Rhinolophus ferrumequinum: one gene and its partner. The protein of the gene in region 2 interacts with the protein of the main gene of each other region in a pairwise test. Links are inferred from orthologs where the notes say so. Each region holds a gene or a part of one and is shown on either strand. Other genes may lie near its edges.

Region 1 (10,271 bases), on a different chromosome or scaffold from region 2:
CAGAGCCCATACATTTTGTACTACAACAGTGGTTGCCAAGCCTAGCGAAGGATCTGAGGGAATTCCAATAACACTGCCGATTCCTGGCCTGCTTTCTCCTGTCTGGTCTCCCATTTCCAGTTTCTCCTCCATCGAGGCCAGTAGTTCTCAAATTTTGGTATGCATCAGAGGACTTTTTAAAACACAGATTGGAGACTCCAGCCCTGTCAGTTTCTGATTCAGTAGGCCTACATTGGGTGGGGGTGGGGGGAATGGACACAAAAGTTTAAATTTCTGGCAAGTTGCTATGTGATGCTGACACTGCTGGTGTCTGGGAATCACACTTTGAATAACACTGCTCTAGGCCATCCAACGTGGGGCTTCCAGATTTATCTTCCAAAAATACAGCTCAAATTGTATCCATCATCAGATAGAAAGCTCTGCAAAAAGCTGTTCCCTATTGATTACAGAAAAATCTAAACAGTAGTAGCCCAACATTGGAGGACCTCCGGAAAATGACCCCAAACTAACTTTCCCCTCTATTCCTCTTCCATTACTCTAGGACAGTGCTGCTCCACGTGTGGTCTGTGGGCCATCAGCACCCCCTGGTACGTACTCTCAGGCCCCACCCCAGGCCTACAGAATCAGAACCTCTAGGGATGAGGCCCAGGAATCTCGTTTTTAACAAGATGATCAGAGCTCCAGGCACAATAAAGTGTGAGATGCCCTGGATTAGAACCTAGGTGTCTCCTCCCCAACTTTCCCACCTATGAGGCTTTGCTTGTGTCAGCCCATCCATGGAATGCTTTTCCCCCATCTCCATATGTTTAAATCCTATCAAAAGCCACCAAGCTAATTCCTACACCTGGAAGTAATGTCTCTTTGCCTCTGAATTCCTGGTGGTGGCATCTGAAATCTTCCTATAATACTGAGCCCTTTTCTAGCTGGCACTGGAGATCTTTACAGACATGGCCTCTCTCCTAACCCGTGAACTTGAGGTCAGGATGCAGGTGGTAGGGATCGTTACACTCCCCCACAGAGCTCAGCTCAGTGCCTGGCACATTGGGGGCAGACAGTAAGCCTTTGCTGCAAGTACAAGTCAGGGAACGCACCACGGCCGTGGAATCGCTGACTGTGTGTTCACAGATGAAAGGTGCCTCTGGTATGTCCATGACCACAGAGGACTCCGAGGGTGTGGAGGACGTGTCCTTATCCAGCTCAGGGTTGTCAAGGTCCAGCAGGCCCCCAGTGGCCACTTGGGACTTATATCGGTGGGGGCTGAGGGCCAGCGCTCCCTTTTCTGTATTCTTGGCCATGGAGGAGAGGCTGAGTTTGTTCAGCTCGCTTTCCAGCATCCCTGCAAAGAAGCTGCTGTTGGGCTGGGTCACTGCCAATTTGATGGGATTCAACAAGGTGGATGAGATGGGGGAGATGCTGGTATCGTCGGAGCTACATTCAGAATCCTCCCCTGGCATCGGCTTCCTGGAGTGGGAGGGGAGACAGATGAGCCAGATGAAGGAGCCCACCCCAGCCCATGCAGCTTGGAAGCTGCCAGAGGCCATGCCTTGGGCCTGACTTACAAAGGTCCCCAGCTGCTTCTGAACAACTGAGAACGTCCTACTGCTGCGTGGCAGCACATCAAACCCGCCCGGGCACTTAGTAGTGAAAAAACGCAGGTTCCTGATCCCCAGACCCCAGGGGGGATGGGGGTGGGGGAGCTGCTAAAGTTAATAGGATCCTCAGACGATTCTAACGCAGCTGTTCTGAGAACCACAATTTGAGAAAGACTGCCAAAACTGGAAGTCCTCCCTCCAAAGCAGGGCGCAAACGCTCCAGGAAATGAGCACAGTGATCTCCTGAGGTATGGGAAAATATCTAAAAGTATCTAAAAAAAAAAAAAAATAAATGCAGCTTTATTAACATTTATTTATTATTATTGTTTAATATGTAATGCAATTACTAATTCATTTACTTAGCATTTAACATGTAAAATATATAGCCGTAAAATTATTATAAATATACATATACTGGGGTGAATTCTCAAACTTTTCTTCTAATTTCTTAAAATTATGAACTATTTTAGACATATCCAAAGATATCAAGAATAATATATTAGGTTGGTACAAAAGTAATAGCGGTTTAAAAGGTTAAACATAATTGCAAAAACCGCAATTACTTTTGCATCAACCTAATATTATTAAGCTTTTATTTAGCCATCATCCAGCTTCAGAACTAAAGCCTCATCAAGATAGTTAAGGCCCCGGACGTGTCTCTCCCCACCTCCGTCCTCATACTCCCTCTAAGAGCTAACCAGTAAATTTAAAATTTTGTGTTTATTATTCCCCATATGTCTTTATGGGTTTGTTACATATGTATGTTATCCCTAAGCAAGGCCTATTTTGCATATTTTTAAACTTTACACAAATAAATGATCACATTGTGTACATATCGATGGTAGCTTGCTTTTTCACTCAACATTGTGCTTTTTAGATCTATCTGTATTATACATGTAGCTCTGACTCAGTCATTTTGATTTTTGTGTGGTTTTCCATTACAGGGATATTTGTATTGTTACCAATTCTTTACTGTTACAAAGACAAACCTTCCACATGTTTGCCCACTACTTAATTTTTTTTTTTATTACTGATGAAGTGCAAAATCCCCCAAAAATTGGCTTTCAAATCTTTTTTTTATCTTGACTCAAAGAAATACACATTACATGGCAATGTAGTATACTCATACATATACATACAACTAAAACACAACTGCACAAACCAGTACTTTATGCGTGATAGGCCCTGGAATTTTTGATCTGTTTTATTTCATTTTTAAAATATTGGTCTCTACCAACTAGAATGAGTTCCTGACTCACTAATGGGTCACAACCCACAGTTTGAAGAGCACTTGTCTAGAGAGGGCAGTCAAGGTCACACAGTGAATTGATGACAGAGTTTGAACTAAAACCCAGGTCTCCGGGGTCCCAGGCCTGTCCCATTGCTATGTAGCTCCCATCTGTCCCTGGCTCTTCTCCTCTGCTTCCTACCCCATCTCCCCCAGCTGCTCTGGCCAAGTCCAGCAACCACCACACACCCCTGGATCCCTTACTCCAGACCAGCCACAGGCTTCATGGTTGGTTGATGGGCCAAATTTTTCCTCCCTGAGCTCCAGCCCCGTCGGCCTCCTCCTAAAAATATCCTGATCAACTCAAAGCTCCTATGCTAGCCTTTGGTGGACATTTGGAACAGATGATTCCCTCACTAAGGTCTCTTATACGCCGAAGAGTCTGAGTATTAATGCCATTTATACTTCAGATTGTCCTAATGAACCTCTATTTTAGATTTCCTTATTCAAAACACCAGTGCAGAAGTGGGCATGGAAGGCAGGGAAGAAGTAGGCTACATGCTGGACATATTCTATTCTGATCTTTACAGCAGCCCTACTAGATGGGTGGTAGCCCCATTTTGCAAATTAATGACCTTCAGTCTACAGCCATAGATCTAAATGGTAGAACGTGGATTTGAACGTGGCCTCATAGCCCTAGACTTTCCTACTATACCATGAAGTTTCCTATAAACATCCATGACTTTAGCCATACCCGCTTACTTACAGGTCCATTAGGGGGAAGGGACACTACATCCCTTTTCTATAATCAAGACGAGCTACATAGTTTGTGGGTCCCCTTCTTCAAAAATTATTAAGAATTTCAAGACAGTGACAGCGGAGCATTGAAGTTAAGCACTGGGCCCTTCTAAGTGTGGGGTTGTGTATGACTACACAGGTCACACGCCCATGAAAATGCCCTGCAGATAACTCCCTCAGCCTCCATCAACCTGCACCACCACCCCTTCACTGGCTCACTGCTTCCCTTCCTAGGAGATTCAGCTCACATGTCACCTCTTCCAGGAAGCCTTCCCTAACTGAACCCCCCTCCAAGCTATACTAACCCCCCTCTGGTGCCTCAGTGTCCTTTCCTAGTTGCTTTATTCGCAATTCTTTCCTGGCACCTTCCCAACACACATACCCCAGGCTGGGAGCTCTTTAAAGGCAGGGACTGTTCTTTTCAGCTCTGCCTTCCCAGAACTTAACCCTGGGCTAGACACCTTGCAGGAGCTCAAAGAGTTTTTTGGAATGAAGTAAATGGAACCCAGAATTACTGAGGAGGAACATAAACCTCAGTCCAAAAGCAGGCAGACTATTGGGGGGATATAATCAGGCAGCAGAAGGCACCAGAAGGGAGGATTGAGAAGAGGAGTCTTAGGGGAGTAGAATGGAGCAGGGGTGTCTGTGGGTGGCTGGGGGTGTGGGAAAAAGACCTTAACTAGACAAAGTAGACGAGAAGCACTGTTAACAAATCTCTAACTAATCCCGAAAGGCCTCCTGGAACTGCAGGCCCACATGCCTCCAAGAAGTGATTTGGGGTCCGGAATCCATGGTGCATCCTGCACACATGCTCTTCCCTGGGAGCTCAGGACCTGGGTTGTGACAGGTCCAGAAAGTACCGCTTCTTCAAGCCCTTCCCCACCCCTCAGCCCTGGCCTAAGAAAGGAGAAAAGGACCAGACTTTTGTCTTACGGTAGATTGATGGTATCTTCCTCCAAGAAGTTAACCAAACTGCCTCTTGAGGAAAGTGGGAGTCCTTTGGTAGCAACCGTCCTGTTCATAGACTTGGGGTTTGGAAAGGGCTTCGACTTTTGATCAAGCACACTCGAAACATTGAGGGTTTCCTTTTTCAGCATGGTCTCCTCCCCATCTCCCACTTTACAGAGCACCTCTGATGCCATCTAGTTTGTTTGGGACCACAGCTGTCACCGTACAGGACAACCAAGCTGACAGGAGGCAGAGAGAAACTGGGGGCAGCGGACCCACCCTAATTTGGGTGGGATGGGGGTGCAATGAGCTGACTTCATAAACATCACAGAGCATAACAATTAGGGGCAAGCCTCTCCCTTGATCTGAGGCTGCTGCTGCCCAGGGCCAGGATCTAGAGTGGGGTAGAGCTAAGGAACAGACTCCATCACCCTTCCAGCGCAAATGCTCTGTGGTTACAGCAACTCTGTCCTCTGAAGATCTCAAAATGTTTACCACCTGTACCTTTTGGTGCTGCCCTGGGAAGGAGGAGAAGGATGGTGGGAGAAAGACACCTGGGCACGGAGGGAGGCAGCGCTGGAATGGGTCTCTGGGAGTACGAGACTTTGTAGAACACTGAGGCTCTCTATCCAAAATTCTAGGCAGCACAGCCTCACTATGTTCAGTCATATAGGCAAAGGGAAAGCCCATAAGTTCATGGAGTTCATAGCTCACATATACCCAGGTTTCATGGCTAGACTTCTAAACATGCCACACCCTCACCCCAAGTGCTTCGTATGTTGAGCGACAGTTGGGAGTGCTGCAGAGGGAAACAAAGATGGGCCAGACATTATTTCTGTTCTCAAGGACACCACTGTACAGTAGGAAAACATACAACTTCGGGGATAAGAAGAGAAGAGCATTGGCTTTGCACTTAGATGTGGATTTGTCTGTGCTAAATCCAGCTCTGCCCTTACAAGCTCTGTAGTCTTTGAGATATGACTTTACCTCCCTGAGCCTCAGTTTCCTCATCTGCGAAATAGGGATAAACATAGCACCTGCCTCATTGGATTATGAGAAGATAACCCTGTAAGGTTGTTTTGTTTCTTCCAGGATGAGACAAAGCAAAGGACATTTAAAAATAACAAATCCTATTTTTTGTGTTCTATATACTCAGGGTTTTTGCTGTTATTCATTAAAAAATGGAAAGTACAGAGAAGCAGGTGTTTTCTGTGTGTTCCGTTGCCTCTTAGCACCAATGATATAATCTGTAATATTTAACTTTTTAAAAAAATTTTTATTAGGGAATATTGGGGAACAGTGTGTTTTTCCAGGACCCATGAGCTCCAAGTCAAATCGTCGTTTTTTCAATCTAGTTGTGGAGGGCGCAGCTCACTGGCCCATGTGGGAATGCAACTGGCGACCTTGGTGTTATGAGCACTGCGCTCTAACCACTGAGCAAACCGGCTGCCCCCATACTATTTAATTGATTTGATTTCTCTTCACTGTCTTGCCCTCACTAACAAGCAGGTCCCCTGTGCATAGGGATGGCTAGCCTTGTCGAGCTTCCTGGCCCAGCGTTTAGAACCGAGGCTCGCAGGAAGCCGCTCGTCCGTCCCTCGCAGCCAGCAGATGGCGCTATCGGTCCGGCCCTGGAGCCTGGAAGCCGGAAGCGGCCCTGCGGCCCGGGAGGGCGGGCCCTGGGCAAGGGAGACCCGGCAGGGTCCGCACTCTCCGCGCCGCCGCTTCCTTTCGTCCCCGCGGGCCCGGGGCCCCTCCAGAAAGAGGCGCCGGGAGGCGTCTAGAAAGGGCCCCGCTGATGTCCACGGGAATAGCGGCCCGGGGTCCCCAGGGAACATGGGCATGCTCAGGGCCGGACTGTGCCCAGGCCTTACCCAGGACATGATCCAGCTTCTGAGGAGCCGCGGGATCAAGACAGGTGACCGCGTGTGCGCCCCACACAGCTGGGCACACCGCGGATGCCACCCCCACCGCCCTGACATACCCGGGAGGGGGATAGCTCCGCCTTCCTGTGCCCCCCACCCTTCTGGAGAGGCTCGGAGGGAGGGAGTGGGCACCCCAAACCCCAGGCAGGCTCCTACTGTGTGCTGGGCACCGCGTCAGGTCCTGTGGCTCTGGTAGTTCCCGTAGGCCTCCTGAGATGATGGTCTGCCCTAAGGTAACACTGTCACCCCATTTCACAGATGAGGAAAAGCCAAGTGCGGGAAGCCCCGCCCTTCCTGCCAATCATCCACACTTGTTTTGTTTTCAGTGGTGGACCTGGTTTCCGCAGACCTGGAGGAGGTAGCCCAGAAATGTGGCTTGTCTTATAAGGTGAGCTGACGAACTACACTTTCCAAACCGGGGTGTTTCTACATGTTCATCCCTGAGCCCAGGGAGTGAAGGGTTCCGAGAGATTGATGGGGGGGGTGGGGTGGGGCGTAGGAGACCCTGGGATGCCCCCTCCCTTGGCTGGTCATTGCTCGTGGCTGAGTACTCTTGGTTGCTGAGTACTCTTGGTCCGCTTTGGGTTGAAGTGCCCCTGGGCTCGTCCTGAGTTGTCCCCGCCCCTCCGGCAGGCCCTGGTTGCGCTGAGGCGGGTACTGCTCGCCCAATTCTCAGCTTTTCCCTTCAATGGCGCTGATCTCTACGAGGAACTGAAGACCTCCACTGCCATCCTGTCTACCGGCATTGGAAGGTTTGTATGTGTACTTGGGGAAGAAGGTCAGAGGCAGGAGGACATGGCTGCCTCCTGCTTGGGTTTTGATGCTTGAGTCTAGAGAGCAGGGTTTCTCAGGCAGTGGTGAGGCCCGTTTGGACCAATGGTCAAGACTTCTGACTTCTCTTACCTTAAACGGGGTTTCTCGACCTCACACTCCTAACACTTTGGGATACATAATTATTTGGTGGCGATCAGGGTGTCCTGTGCACTGTAGGATGTTTGGCAGCCTCCCTGGTCTCTATCCACTAGATGCCAGTAACACCTCCCTCCTCCCTATGTCATGACAATCAAAAAATGTCTCCAGAAATTGCCAAATGACCCTGAGGGACACAGAATTGTCTCTGATTGAGAACTACTGTCCTGTAACACACGATGTCAATATTTCACTGTTATTCAGCATATCAGAGCAACTCTTCTCTGGCCCTACCTCCTATTTTAACTTAAGGATAGTGCAGGAGGGAACTTGGCAGGACTAACATTCACTGAGTGCCTACTATGTGCCAGCCATTGAATGTAGGTTATATAATCACTTCAGTGAATCCTGTGAGTTAGTAATTATTAAGCCACTTCAGTTTAACCCAAGAGGAGTGAGGGGCAGAGGTGGGGCTCAAGCCCTGGGGTATTTGACCTAGAACTTGGTGCATGCCCCATACTCTGCAGCAGGAGGGGACAAGAGAGCTTCCATAAAGGACTAGTTATTAGGTTGGTGCAAAAGTAATTGCGGTTTAAAAGGTTAAAAATAATTGCGAAAACCGCAGTTACTTTTGCACCAACCTAATACATTCTGCCATGTTGTTGAAAGAGAGAGAGAGATGGAGGACAACAGCCAGTTTCTAGCCAAGGGCCTGTTGGTGTGGAATTTGATGAAGAACTCTACCATCAGAAAGGTTTTTGGATCAGTTTGACCCTTGCTGTTTCCATAACACGTTCTCTTGGCAAGGTTCAACAGCATGGTGCCTGCTCCCCCTGGTTGGGGGTCTGAGTCTGTTATCCATCAAGCACTGGCTGAGTGCCTATTGGGTGCCAGATAAGATTCAGATGATAGGTGTGCAAGTGAGGCTTCTGCACTTGAGTGTGGGGTCTAGTGAGTAGAAAGAAGAGCAGGTGAACACAACAGAGAGGTGCATGCATGCGTGGAGGCCGCATAAGAAAGGGGTGATTAACAGACTTGGCCTTTGGGCTTTGGGAGCTTATAAAACCAACATCCTCAGAGGAAGCATTTATGGAGCAGTCAAGTGGTAAACTGGCAGGATTGCAGCTGCAGAGGGTCACTGCAGGGGAGAGCAGAGAGGCTCAGGAAGCCTCTGTGAAGGAGGCAGGTCTTGGGCATTGAGGAACGCGTGGCCTTTCTCAGTGCTTACCAAAGGCCAGGCACCGTGTTTACACTTCACGGTGCATTATTTCATTTGTTCTTCCCAACCACCAATGAGTGCATTACAACTAAAATCACCATTCTTTAGATGAGGAACTGAGACTCGGGTTAGGTGGCTTGCTCAAGATCATGCAGCTAGTAAGTGGCAGACTAGACCCCAGAAGTCACATCTGTCATACTCCTAAGTCTAAGAACCTGACTCTAAACCATCTACCCTGTTGTCCCTCAAGGCGGTGGGCCGTATTGTGAAACTAGAGCTACAGGCGTGTGGTAGAGGTGTGCAGGGTGGATGGGACTAGGGAGGCTGGCAGGAGAGAGCCCAAGGAAAGGGATGGCAGCGGTGGGGTGTGTGAGTCCGATCTAAGGCAGGTGACAGCGGGAGACGTATTGATGAGGACAAGTGGCAAGCCTTACTGCCAGGTAGGATTCAGGTGTGAAGAATCAAAGATGACTCCCTAGGTTTCTCCTTCCTCACAGTGGTCTGTGGACAGTGAATGGATGTGATGTTTTAAAGGGAACCAGGAGGGGAGTTCTTTAGTCAAAAATTTGGGAAATGTTCCAGTAACCCGAGTTAAAGAGATCTCTTTGTCATAGACCTTCCCAGAGCCTTTAGTGCAGATATGCAGTGTGGACTTTTATGAGGACAGTAGAACATGGAATGTACCTTGGAAGAAGCTGTATGGATTGGGGGGAGGGGGGGCTGAGTGGTTCCTTGAAGGCCGTAGACATGTTTTGTTCATTTCTATATCTCCCTTATTTTAGAATAAGGCCTTCAGGAAATGTGGGGCATTCAGGTGATGATTGAATGAATGGCTGTGAAGGAATGACTAAAAGCCAGTTCAGAGGGAAAGGTAGAGGATAAATCCCAGAAGTCACTTGTATCCAAAGCAAGTGGTAAAACCCAGGTATTCTTCTGCTCCACACGGCAGCGGGGTCTGTCTCCATTTCAGTGTGCTGAGTTAGAGGTGATCAGTAGAGAGGTCCTCTAGGCAGAAAGAGACATGGAACAAAACAGGTGAAAAGTCAGCTGGGAGGTGGATTTGGAAATTCCTTGTGCAGAGTGATCCTCACGGCCAAGAATGTGCTTGATTCTTGACTGGAGAACCCAATGATTTAGCCCAGGCTGCACATTAGAATCATTTGGAAGCTTAAGAAGTAGTTATACCTCGGTCTCGCCTTTAGAAATTCTGATTTACCTGCTCTAGGCTAGTGGCTCCCAAACTTGTCCGCACATTAGAGTCACCTGAGAATCCTTTTTAAAACAATTTTTTTTATTGGGGAATATTGGGGAACAGTGTTTTTCCAGGACCCATGAGCTCCATGTCAAGTCGTTGTTTTCAATCTAGTTTGGAGGGCGCAGCTCACTGGCCCATGTGGGAATCGAACTGGCAACCTTGGTGTTATGCGCCCTGCACTCTAACCACTAAGTCAGTCAGCTGCCCGAGAATTCTTTTTAATGGATACGTTTTTATTACAGGTCGGAATGTTACAGCATCATAAAAAATAGTAACATTTAGTGTTTTTCTGTTTATACAAGTAATACATGCTCATGATAGACAATTTGCAACACACAGGGAAACACAAAGAAAAAAAGAAAAACCACCTCAGTTAATAATTTTAGCCTTTCTGTGT
Region 2 (10,363 bases):
TCAAAACAATCATTTAAAAAGGCCAAATCTGCTTCTAGAATGTCCCTAACCTGTTATGTTGTATTTTACAGCATCATTATAAAAAATAATTATGTTTCTAATGGAATAGAATCTAAATTATAATTAGATCAAAACAATATATTATCTAGTTAGATATAAGAGCAGTTTTAACGGCAGCCTCTGACTAAACCTGATTGCCTTCTGTCCCTCTCCTTCCTCACCAACAGAAATTCTTCATTAAAGTGACGGGGCTCTCCTGGCATTTAGGGGCTAAATGTGGATTAGTCCAAACCAAAGGTGGAATGCCCAATTTCCTTGCCAATGACTGGCTTAGAAAAGGGCATGTGACTCAGCCCTGCTCAGTAGAAACTAAGAGGAAATCTGCTGGAGGATTTCTGGGAAAAGCTTTTCTTCCTTGATAAACACATAGGAAAGAACTCTTCTTAGCTGCAGATAGATGGTCATGATTCTGTAGCTACTGTAGCAGCACTGCAACCATGAATGGAGACAGTAGTTGCTACACTGAGGAAAGGAGAACAAACAGATGGAAGGCAAAAAGGGAATGTAGTTCAGTTAATGAATCAATCAAGCTTGAAATTGCCCAACCTACAGACATATTATGACAAATAATGAGCCTCTTATTGTTAAACCTACAAACTATATATTCCCTATTTGGAGACCAACTGGATAATCCAACTGTAACTTTAACTGTAAATGTGCACCATTCCCAACAGCTAAAGTTTCATTTCTCACTGAGGGGTAACAATCGCGTCACTAAAGGAAAGCCTCCTCCACCCCACTGAACCGAGATAAATACTTTGTTACTTGGTCTAAATTTTCTATCTTAAGCCAAATTACTTTCAGACATTTGCAGATGAAAATGAAAATGATCAAATAACAATTCTTGGAAAAGTACTTGCTATTTTGGATACTCAAAATCTTTTGATATAAATATATATATACACATATATATGTGTGTGTGTGTGTATATATATATATATATATACACATATATATATACATTCACACACACACTCACATTTCCCCTCTTAATTACCATGCATCAAGACTATATAGTACACCAGTGAACCGTATTAGTATACTGGGCCAGTGTTATTACTTCTGTGCCTTTGTTTAGGGAATCAATCATATAAAAAAGGTATTACAGGATTAATTAAAAAAAAAAAAACCCTGTAAATAAAGCCTCCTATGAGAATAGAAGAACTTCCTCAAAAGCAGGGAACAAATCTTACTGATCTTCCAGTCCCCAGTACAGTTCTGACAGAGAATAGTTCTCAAAAATGTGTTGAACAGATTTACGTATGTTGACATGAAATCAATAAATTGAGAGCAGGAATACAAACATACTGCTCTCTCCCAATGTGCTGATTTTTTACAGGTTTAGCCATTTTAAGTTGCATTCATCCGACCATTGTCCCACCACGTCTCCCTAACAGACTACAGTTCTCTGAGCTGACCCATAGAATTAAGGATCTTCAGAACAGTTGAAAGAATTGCAAATGCACTTCACTCAGCCTTTGCTGCTTTACTAATGAACAGCAAAAAGCATTATGGAGCGCTACGATCTAAATTATTTGGTTTCCCTTGTGAGTCTCATGCCAGAGTGAGAGCAGTAAGGATGGGAGTGGTGGGCAGTGAGGACAGAGCAGTAGGGAGAAGCCAGATTGATGCTGGAATTCTTTAGATTCCACTCTGTTTTAAAGGATTTTAGGCAGATTTCGGCAGATTTTCACTGTAGATAAATGGCTCTGCAGTTACGTGGGGAATGGATATAAATAAAGGTGGAACATAGGTTAAGGCTGGAGGAGGGAGAACAATGGCAGAACTAGAACAGTGGTAGTAGGGGCAGAAATCCCTCAGGAGCTATTACTAACATGAGGTAACATAGGCAACAGGAATCTCAACATGTCTTAAATAGAACTCATCATTCCCCCTAAACTGACCCTCTACCACTCTTCTGTTTCAGGAAATGACGATAATTTCCTTCATCTCCTAGATCCAATTAAAGACTATATCCTATGGTTTCCAACTCCTAGCTCTCTCCCAAACCCATTCACTTTTTTCCACTATGTCCTACTCCGCCATCATTTTTGCTTTGGATAAGTGGACAACTGCCCAGCTGATGTTGCACATCCACTCTTGACCCCTGAAATCCATTCTCTTTGTTTCCAAAGGGAGCTTTCTGATACACCACGGACCATGTCACCATCTTGCTCAAAACCCCTCACAGGCTTCCCATTGTTCCTAGGATGAAGTCCACAACTCTTAACGTGGCTTACAAGATCCTCTGTTATGTGGCTGCCTAAAAACAGAATTCTAAACTGAGCGTTTCTTATGTGCTAGGGACTGTGCTATGTTTTGCAAGCATTGTTTCATTTTATTCTCATTGTGAGGCAGGAACTATTAGCATTGTCCTCATTTTGCAGATGAGAAAACCGAGTCAAGGAGAGATTATGTAATTTTTCTAAGGTTGTAGAGCTAATAAAGTATTGGAGCCAGGTCTGACTCCAGAGCTCGTGCTTAAGCTTTCACACTCCCCTCATCCTGTGCTCCAACCACACTGCATTACTTTCAGTCCTGAGAACTCATCCGCTCTTTTTGGCCAGGAGGCCTCCACACATGTTGTTCCCTGTGCCTGGAATGTCTTCCTCAAAAATCTCATTTTTGCCAGGATAGTATTTATTCACTCATCAAATCTCTGTTTAAATGTCATCTCTTCAGGGAAGTCTTCCCTACCTATCTAAAATTACATTATTTGTTTACTTCCTTCTGATCTGTCTCCCTTCAGTAGAATGTCAAAATTGTTCGGCACTGGTTCCCAGTTCTTAGAATGGCATTCACCTGGGGTTCGATAAACATTTGTTGAATGAAGGCATGACTGAATAATGTGGGGATGGAAACTCCCTAATTTAGTAACTTCATCTATTCAGACTGATAAGAAACAAAAAGAAGCCAAATATAAATTTGTTCATCCACTTGATATTTATTTAGTAGCTCCCAGGTCCCAGCCAATACTTTTGAGAACTTACAGCCCTCCCGGGGGAAGAGACACATAGGCATGATTATAGCACAATATAAGTAAAGTGCCTGTTAAAATTGTGGCAGGAATAAAGTGCAATAGATGCAGAGATGAAAAAAGGTATAAATCTACGGCAAACCTTTACAGTAGAGGAGATTCTTGGATCGTTTTGCAGAATGAATGAGTCTTGAAATATCTATCACATAGTCCATGTATTTCACTTATGAAAGGGGAGAGAAGCATCCACTATATACTGGGGCACTTTACATCGCATTTAATTCTCACAACAGCTCTGTTATTAATTCCCATTTTACAGATGTGGAAATCCAAACTAAAACAAGTCAAGGAACTTGTCCAAGGTTATGCAGTATATTAATAAAGGAGTATAGGTTGACCCAGTACCCATTTACTTACGGTTGTATCACAGTCCTTTGACCCTGTACTCCCCAGAGCCTAATTACTTGTTTTCATTATAACTCTTAACAAAATTGGTTATCTGGTTTCCCATTCTAACAGAAATAAGCAGCAAATGTAAAGGTTCAAAAAGAGACCAAAGTGAAGTATACTAACAGCAAAAAAAGGAACAGGAAAACCATAAAAACTGAACACAAAATTAAAAAAACATGGATCATATAGTCTTCTACATTCCACCCTTAGCTATGCAACAGTACTTGATGTGCATAATGATGACCCCATTATGAAAAAAGGTAATTGTAGTCACTACAGTCTATATGATAAATAATGTTGATGCTTGAGACGGTAAACTTCAGGTATCTAGAAAATTAATCCCTCTCTGGTAACCCTGGATAAATGAATTGTAATGATTATTTCCAAAGTGTCTGTAAGAAAAAATGTCCCAAGATCTTAAAAAGTCTCCATTTTATGGACATGGTTATTTTTCTATTGCTTTAAACTAAATTTTAGCCAGAATAGAAAAACTGTCCATCTTAACTTCCATATGTATACACAAGAAAATCATAAATTTGAAAAACTCACACTATGACTTTGAACACATGTAGATTGAGTAATTTAGACTGAGAAGCACAGTGTTACTGAGCATTGTTAATATCTAAAAACAACCCCTTAAAAGAGAACCATTTTAATAAATCTAATAAAACAGGATAAATTATGTACAAAACAAGAGGAAAACTATAATGTTTAACCTGTTGTACTCACAATTTAAATAGGTGTGTAGAGAAAAAAAAATTAAGCAAACACAGAGAAAGCTGGTTGAGTAATTTACCATAAAAGTGTTTCTGTCATATAGTCTACTTGGGTCCAACTTTTAAATCTGAAGATTTCAGCTCTTTTATAACATAAGCTTTTGTTACTTTATGTAATTCTTCTTCATTTTTTTTTTTTTTAAAGAATGGTTGCAGTTAAGACAACAGACCCTGGATTTTTTTGTTTTGTTTTTAAGAACAAGGGAAAATTGTTTCACCAATTATCTTGAACAAGCTGACAAGGGAACACTTAATATCCTTTATCATTTTGGAGGCTTTTAAATGTGAAACTTTCCACACAGAACACTGGTTGTAACAATGTAAAAAGCATACTGGCTACACTTCCCAACAACATGTAAAAATGAATATAGGGAAAAGTCAGTCTTTACTTGCAACTAACTATAACTCACACATTTTTTCCAGGAGCAATGCAGTTTCTGTTACAACTTTCTAGAAAGACAATACTTGTTTACTTATATTTGAAAATTGCTTTTATTTTAGTTCATGTTGCACAACTTTGGCCCCAAATTCAATGTTTTACAGAACACTCTAAAATTAAGATGTAGCCTGAACTCATAATAAGAGTTCATGTAACAACCTATTAGAAATAAAGTGAATTTAAGTGCAAGTAAAATTTTACTGTATTAGACAGACAGTTGTAATTATAATGCTCTTCCTTACCTGGACGCTCTTCAAAATAAACTCACTTTTCTCTCTTACATCTTTAAAGGGACACCTCTTAGAAAGCATAAGCAGATGAGCAAGCAGCTTATTCAACCCATCCAAAGAAACAGCATTTGAAAGCCCGTCTGATGGACAATAAGGTGTCTCTTTCACCGAACGAAGATACTCAGTTTTTCTCAAAATGATTTGCCTAATGTTTTCCAGTGCTGTCTCTCTAGCAGTTGAATCTCTACTGCACAGTCCATCCCATCTCATTTCATTCTCTCCTTCAGCCATGACAAACGGAGATTTTTTTCTTTGCAGTCTTCAGTTACCTTTCAGCATGTCCCCAAAGACATTTAAGGTGTTTTTAAACAAGAAATGTAAGAAAATCAGGGACATCGAATCGTCATGAAAACACACGTCTGGGTGACATTTGGAACCAGAAGTGTCTTTTAATATTGATGGCTTTCAAACGATCTGCAAGATAGACCTCACCCTCTCCTACACGCAGCGACAGTCTTCTGGTCGGAGACTAAAAAAAAGTTGGAAAGTTGAAACCTTACAGTGCTGGCTTTGCTGGACAGGGAAGTGTTCTCCGTCTCGCGGGGTCAGCGGATATCCTCACGTTGTGGAGCTGTCAAATCCGTGCTCTGCCCCAAAAGGCTGGTAACGTTGAACGCCCTCCAGCCATTCGGGTTTATTTGTGCAGCCACCGCGTTCTCCGGAGCGTTCCCACCCCGCCCCTCCTCGGGCACCAGTCCCCGCCCTCCGCAGTTGCTCCCTGCGCCTCAGCGGCGGGCTGGACGCAGGCTGGGAAGGCTCGCGGAACCGCGGCTCACTGGCCGCCGCGGCCGGAGACCCAAGCGCGCCGGGGAGGCAGCAGCCTCCAGCAGCCGCTGTCTCGGCGGCGTAGTCAGAGGACAGTGCCGAGGTCTGGTTGGCTCCGGACCCCCTGGCAGGCGCCGTTTCTCTCCCGATCGCTGCGTCCTCGCCCGCCGCCCACTGAACCAGACTGGCACCGGGCTGCCCCGCAATCCCCTAGCGCGGGTTGGGCCGCAGAGCTGGTGGAGCCGCAGGGCCCAGGCGCAGAACCCGCCTCTTCGCCCAGCCCCATCTGTGGGGCTCGGCCCAGAGGGCGGGAGCAGGGAGGGGAGATGGGGTCCTCACCCCCCAGCCCCTCCCCTTTCTCCGCCCGGCACAAACCAAGAGCCGCCCCTGCCCTAGCGCCCTGTTCCCCGCCCAGGCAGACGCGACCCGCAGAGGCAAAGCCATTGGAAAAAGCCCCGCCCTCCTCCAGCTACCTCCAGACCCCAAGTCCGTGCGCGACCGCTAACGGCGGCCGGATGCCACGCATGCGCGATGGCGAGCAAGGCGCATGCGCCTTAAGGCCTTGACGTTTGGATTCTCTGGACTGGCGAAGGGAAAGAAAAGTAAGGAGTTGAAGTACCTTGAAACTTTCACAGACAAGGCAAGCACGGCAAAGACGGACGCGCTCCTGGAAGAAACTGAATCTAATCTTAAGATTGGCCTAAAATTAGTGACTATCTCTTTATTACTCCAAATCCTTTATTCAAGGAGGTAGGGCGTCCTCCTATTGAGTGCTGGGAAATGTAGTTTTGATGCTGCTGGCGCGTTCCGTTTGCGATAGAAACTACAGCCCCCACAAACCACTGCGACGTTGCCTTTGGCGGCGGGCGAGTCGACCGTTAGCGCGCTGGGAGACTGAGAGCGTCAGCTTGGTGAGAACTGTAGGCTTGGATGCCACTTTTCCCTTGACAGGGTTTTTCCTTCCTACATTCCTCTGAGATTTTGGAGACAAAGCCGTCGAGGGTTGTCCTCCTTAGTCCAGGGACTTTTTCTAGTAATCTGTGTGGGAAGGACTAGTTCGGGTGCCCAAGCCCGAGGGGCGCGTGGAGGCGAGAAAGTGGGAAAGGTGGCGAATCTAAGAGTCCGAGGGAGCCGCAGACGGCCAGACAAAGAGGGATGCTGTAGGAAGGAGTGCTCCGCGCTGCTGCCTCTGCTTCCGCCCTTTCAGGTGGACTCGTGCGCGATGGATTCATGAATCCCTGTGCAATTGCACCTTTCTTTTGCCGTTGCTTAAGGGTTTTCTGGGCTTTATTTGCTCAGCCAACATGACATCCAAGCAGGGCTTTGCTTTGAAAGTGAGTTGTGAAATCCATTTTATATGAGACTAAAGGGAAAAGACTATCAAGAATATCTGGTATTCCTTGGTATGAATTTTTGCAGGCTTTAAGGATACTATATGAAAAAAGACCTGTAAAAATATTCAAAATTTTAAAAATTCAACCATGTGTTTACAAATTGCTGGTTTTTAAAAAATATCATTCCTCTTAGGAAAAGTCGTGAGCTGATAACCAAATTAAATTTTAATTGTTCACATTGCCGAATAAACGTGTTTCAAAATATGTAGCCTTGTTAGGTCCAGAGTATACAACAGTGAAAAAGATACAGCTCCTATGTATGAAGTTAGAGAAACGAATGGTTAAACATACGGTTACAGTACTGTGTGATATCCTTGGAATGGCTAGAGAGAGGCTCATTTAGCCCAGCCTTGGAAAGTCATGAAAACCATCCCAGTGAAAGAGAGGGCCAAAAGAACAGCATATGGTAAGGCCCAGAAGTGAGAGAGATATGGTACTTTCAGGAAACTACAAAAAGTCAATGGTACTTTCAGGAAACTACAATAAGTCAAATCATATATTTTGAGAGGGATAACTTTTTTTGTATTGATGTACTTTGAAGCTGCAAAGAGACAGGTACTGTAGATTCCAGATACGTAGTTTCTGGAAGTGACCTATCCTTGAACAGATTTATAGTTTCAAAGAATTGGTCTCATTTGGAAAGCCTGGCTACATTCTGATGCTACTAGTTTAATTCAGAATTTTAAAAAATAAGAACTTCTTATGAGTATGATTTCACAAAACAAGCAAAAAAAGTCATTCTTTTTGTGTGTGTGTGTCTTCTTTTTGGGCTCATCCTCCTTTGTCCAACCCCCAAAGGGTAGGGTTTCTTACGTCTAGGTCCCCTTTTTACTGCATAGTTGAAACTGTTCTCATCCATACCCATGCTTTCACCACCACCTATGATTCTTAAATGCATAGCTCCATCCAGCTTCACTTTCAGCTTTCATAGATCCATCTGCTTGTAGTATTTTGACGGCTTACGTTAAAGCCTGAGAACAGGTGGAATCACAAAACAGGCACTCCACTGAGTTTGGGTTGATTTGGAGTTATATACAAAGATGAATATGCAGGAGAGGCCGGTGAATGGACAGGAAGACCCACTTGTCCTAAAGCCAAATGAAAGTGATTAAGGAGGAAGAGTGCTAAATTACGTTAAATGCTGCCCTAGGTCAAGTGAAATGAGGATTGATGATTGACCACTACGTTTAGCAATGTAGATATCACTGAAGATCTTGAGAGCAGTTTTGGTGGAATAAAGGGTAAAAGCCAGATGGGCATTTTATTTAAGAGAAAAATAGAACTGGAGACTGTGGCTGCAGCCCCTCTGGTACTGTTTTCTTTGTTCAGACTTTTCTAGCCTGTCTTTGACTCCTCTTCCTGTAGATCTTAGCTCAAATATCACGTTCTCAAAGTTACCTGAGCTGAATAAATGCCCCTATTATAAATTTACTATCATTATATCATATATCTTTACTTGCTAATAAGTTATAAATTTGTTTCTGCAATTGTCTGTGTGCTAATTTGATTAAAGCATGCCTGCTACTGAAGCATAAGTACACAAGAGCAGTGACTGTGCTGAGTTTTGCTCTTGCTCATCATTTCCAGCTCTGAGTACAGTGGTTGGCATCAAGTATGAACTTAATAAATATTTGATGAATGAATGGAAGAAAAATGTAATGACAGAATTTTCAAAGGTATTAACATATTTACCTGTTGTTTACAAAACACAAGATAATGGATGGAAGAAGGTACTTTATCATGAAAACATTTTAGAAAATTAATCTTAAAAGAGCAAAGCTTTTAGTGCTAGTGAATTGTAGTGCTAACCTTCATGAAATAGGATTTGCTAATATTTTTACCATGTTCCTGCCACCTCATCCTGCTATAAGATAACAGAGTATTTAATAATACTCAAAAAGAGTTTGAAGACTTTGTCTAGAAATAAATGATAAAAATTTATTCAAGGGTCTTAGGTTTTGCAAGCAAGAAACATAACTAGGGAAAAACCCAGAAAGTGTTCCGGAGGAGAAGGTAAAGTTAAGAGTTCTTATAGTACAAAGTGCATTCTTTAATCAGTCCTGCACTCCTAGCCCTAGGGTTGGTCCAGGATGGTTCTCAGCCTGGATGATGGATGCCAGGTGTTCTGGAGGACGGGTGCCTGGAGGTCTGGTCACATCTAGTGTTCTGGATAACGGATGTCAAGTGGTCTGGATACGTGAGTCCTCCATGGGCTGTTCTGAATGTTATCTGGAGGTCTGATACATGTTCAGGCATTGTCGCAGGACTGGAAAGTTCAAAAGTTTAAGTTTCCAGGCTAGTTAAATCAGAGTAGAATCATTTCTCATACCTCAGCCTACTTGATTTTAGTAATTTAGCAGCTTGACTATAGGGACTCCATTTTATTGCTTCACAGTTCATATATATATATATATATATGTGTGTGTGTGTGTGTGTATATATATATATGTGTATATATATGTGTATATACATATGTGTGTGTGTATGTATATATATATACATACATACATATGTATATAGTAGAATACATGTAGAGAAGTAAAAGAATATATGTAGAGGAGTTGCCTCTTTAAATGAATAGTGCTCTAGTCAAGAAAAAGGCTGACTTGGTTGGTCTCCAAGAGGCCTTCATTATAAAATTCGTTAATGAATTTACTATAAAAACAAAACAGGGCACCTGAGGTTTATGGGCTTAGAAACACAATCTTGCTAAGTGTACCAGTTTGTGAGACTTCGAGATAAATATATATATAGATCTATCTATCTATCTATAGATAGATATTTGAGTGATACAGGCTACTGATGAATTTATTGTGATGCCGATTGTTATACTTTGAGATATTTGCCAAATAGATAGCACACTGATTCTCTGACAAAGGGGTTTTCTCAGGAAAATTACATGAGAAATCAGCAGGTTGCTTAGGAGGTAGGATTCAGAACAAATGTGGTCACTTAAAAGCGTTAAGCTATGAGAACCTCCACAGTAGAGCTTTACTTGCCTCCAAGTGTTGTCTTCTCTGAATTGCTTTTTCTGTTTCCATTCCTGACATCCCTTCTTTTTGATAAAAATATTCTTTCTTTAAATATGCTAAGGCGTTTGTATTGCAGCCTAGTCTGTGGCCTTAGGGCTGTTCTGTCTCTATACGCTAATTTTGCATGTATCTGCTCTAGTCTATTATATACTGATTTAGAGTTTAGCTCTCAGAGGGTAA

Evidence for each region.
Region 1: the proteins of CEP57L1 (region 2) and RAD51D interact in binary tests that used the Homo sapiens proteins (3 or more experiments, as listed by UniProt). The two-hybrid records come from large-scale screens. The link is inferred for Rhinolophus ferrumequinum from reciprocal best matches to the Homo sapiens genes CEP57L1 and RAD51D.

What each region holds. Positions count from the first base shown.
Region 1 is NC_046304.1:23,034,375-23,044,645, reverse strand, and holds the start of RAD51D (DNA repair protein RAD51 homolog 4), read left to right. Parts: upstream 1-6,223; 5' UTR 6,224-6,402; coding exon 6,403-6,484; intron 6,485-6,817; coding exon 6,818-6,879; intron 6,880-7,124; coding exon 7,125-7,243; intron 7,244-10,271. Other genes in the region: FNDC8 (fibronectin type III domain-containing protein 8), read right to left, coding at 1,092-1,461, 4,552-4,760. UniProt on the Homo sapiens protein: Involved in the homologous recombination repair (HRR) pathway of double-stranded DNA breaks arising during DNA replication or induced by DNA-damaging agents. Bind to single-stranded DNA (ssDNA) and has DNA-dependent ATPase activity.
Region 2 is NC_046286.1:61,796,698-61,807,060, forward strand, and holds the start of CEP57L1 (centrosomal protein CEP57L1), read left to right. Parts: upstream 1-6,321; 5' UTR 6,322-6,548; coding exon 6,549-6,668; intron 6,669-9,223; exon of another isoform or gene 9,224-9,264; coding exon of another isoform or gene 9,265-9,348; intron 9,349-10,363. Other genes in the region: SESN1 (sestrin-1), read right to left, coding at 4,945-5,223. UniProt on the Homo sapiens protein: Centrosomal protein which may be required for microtubule attachment to centrosomes.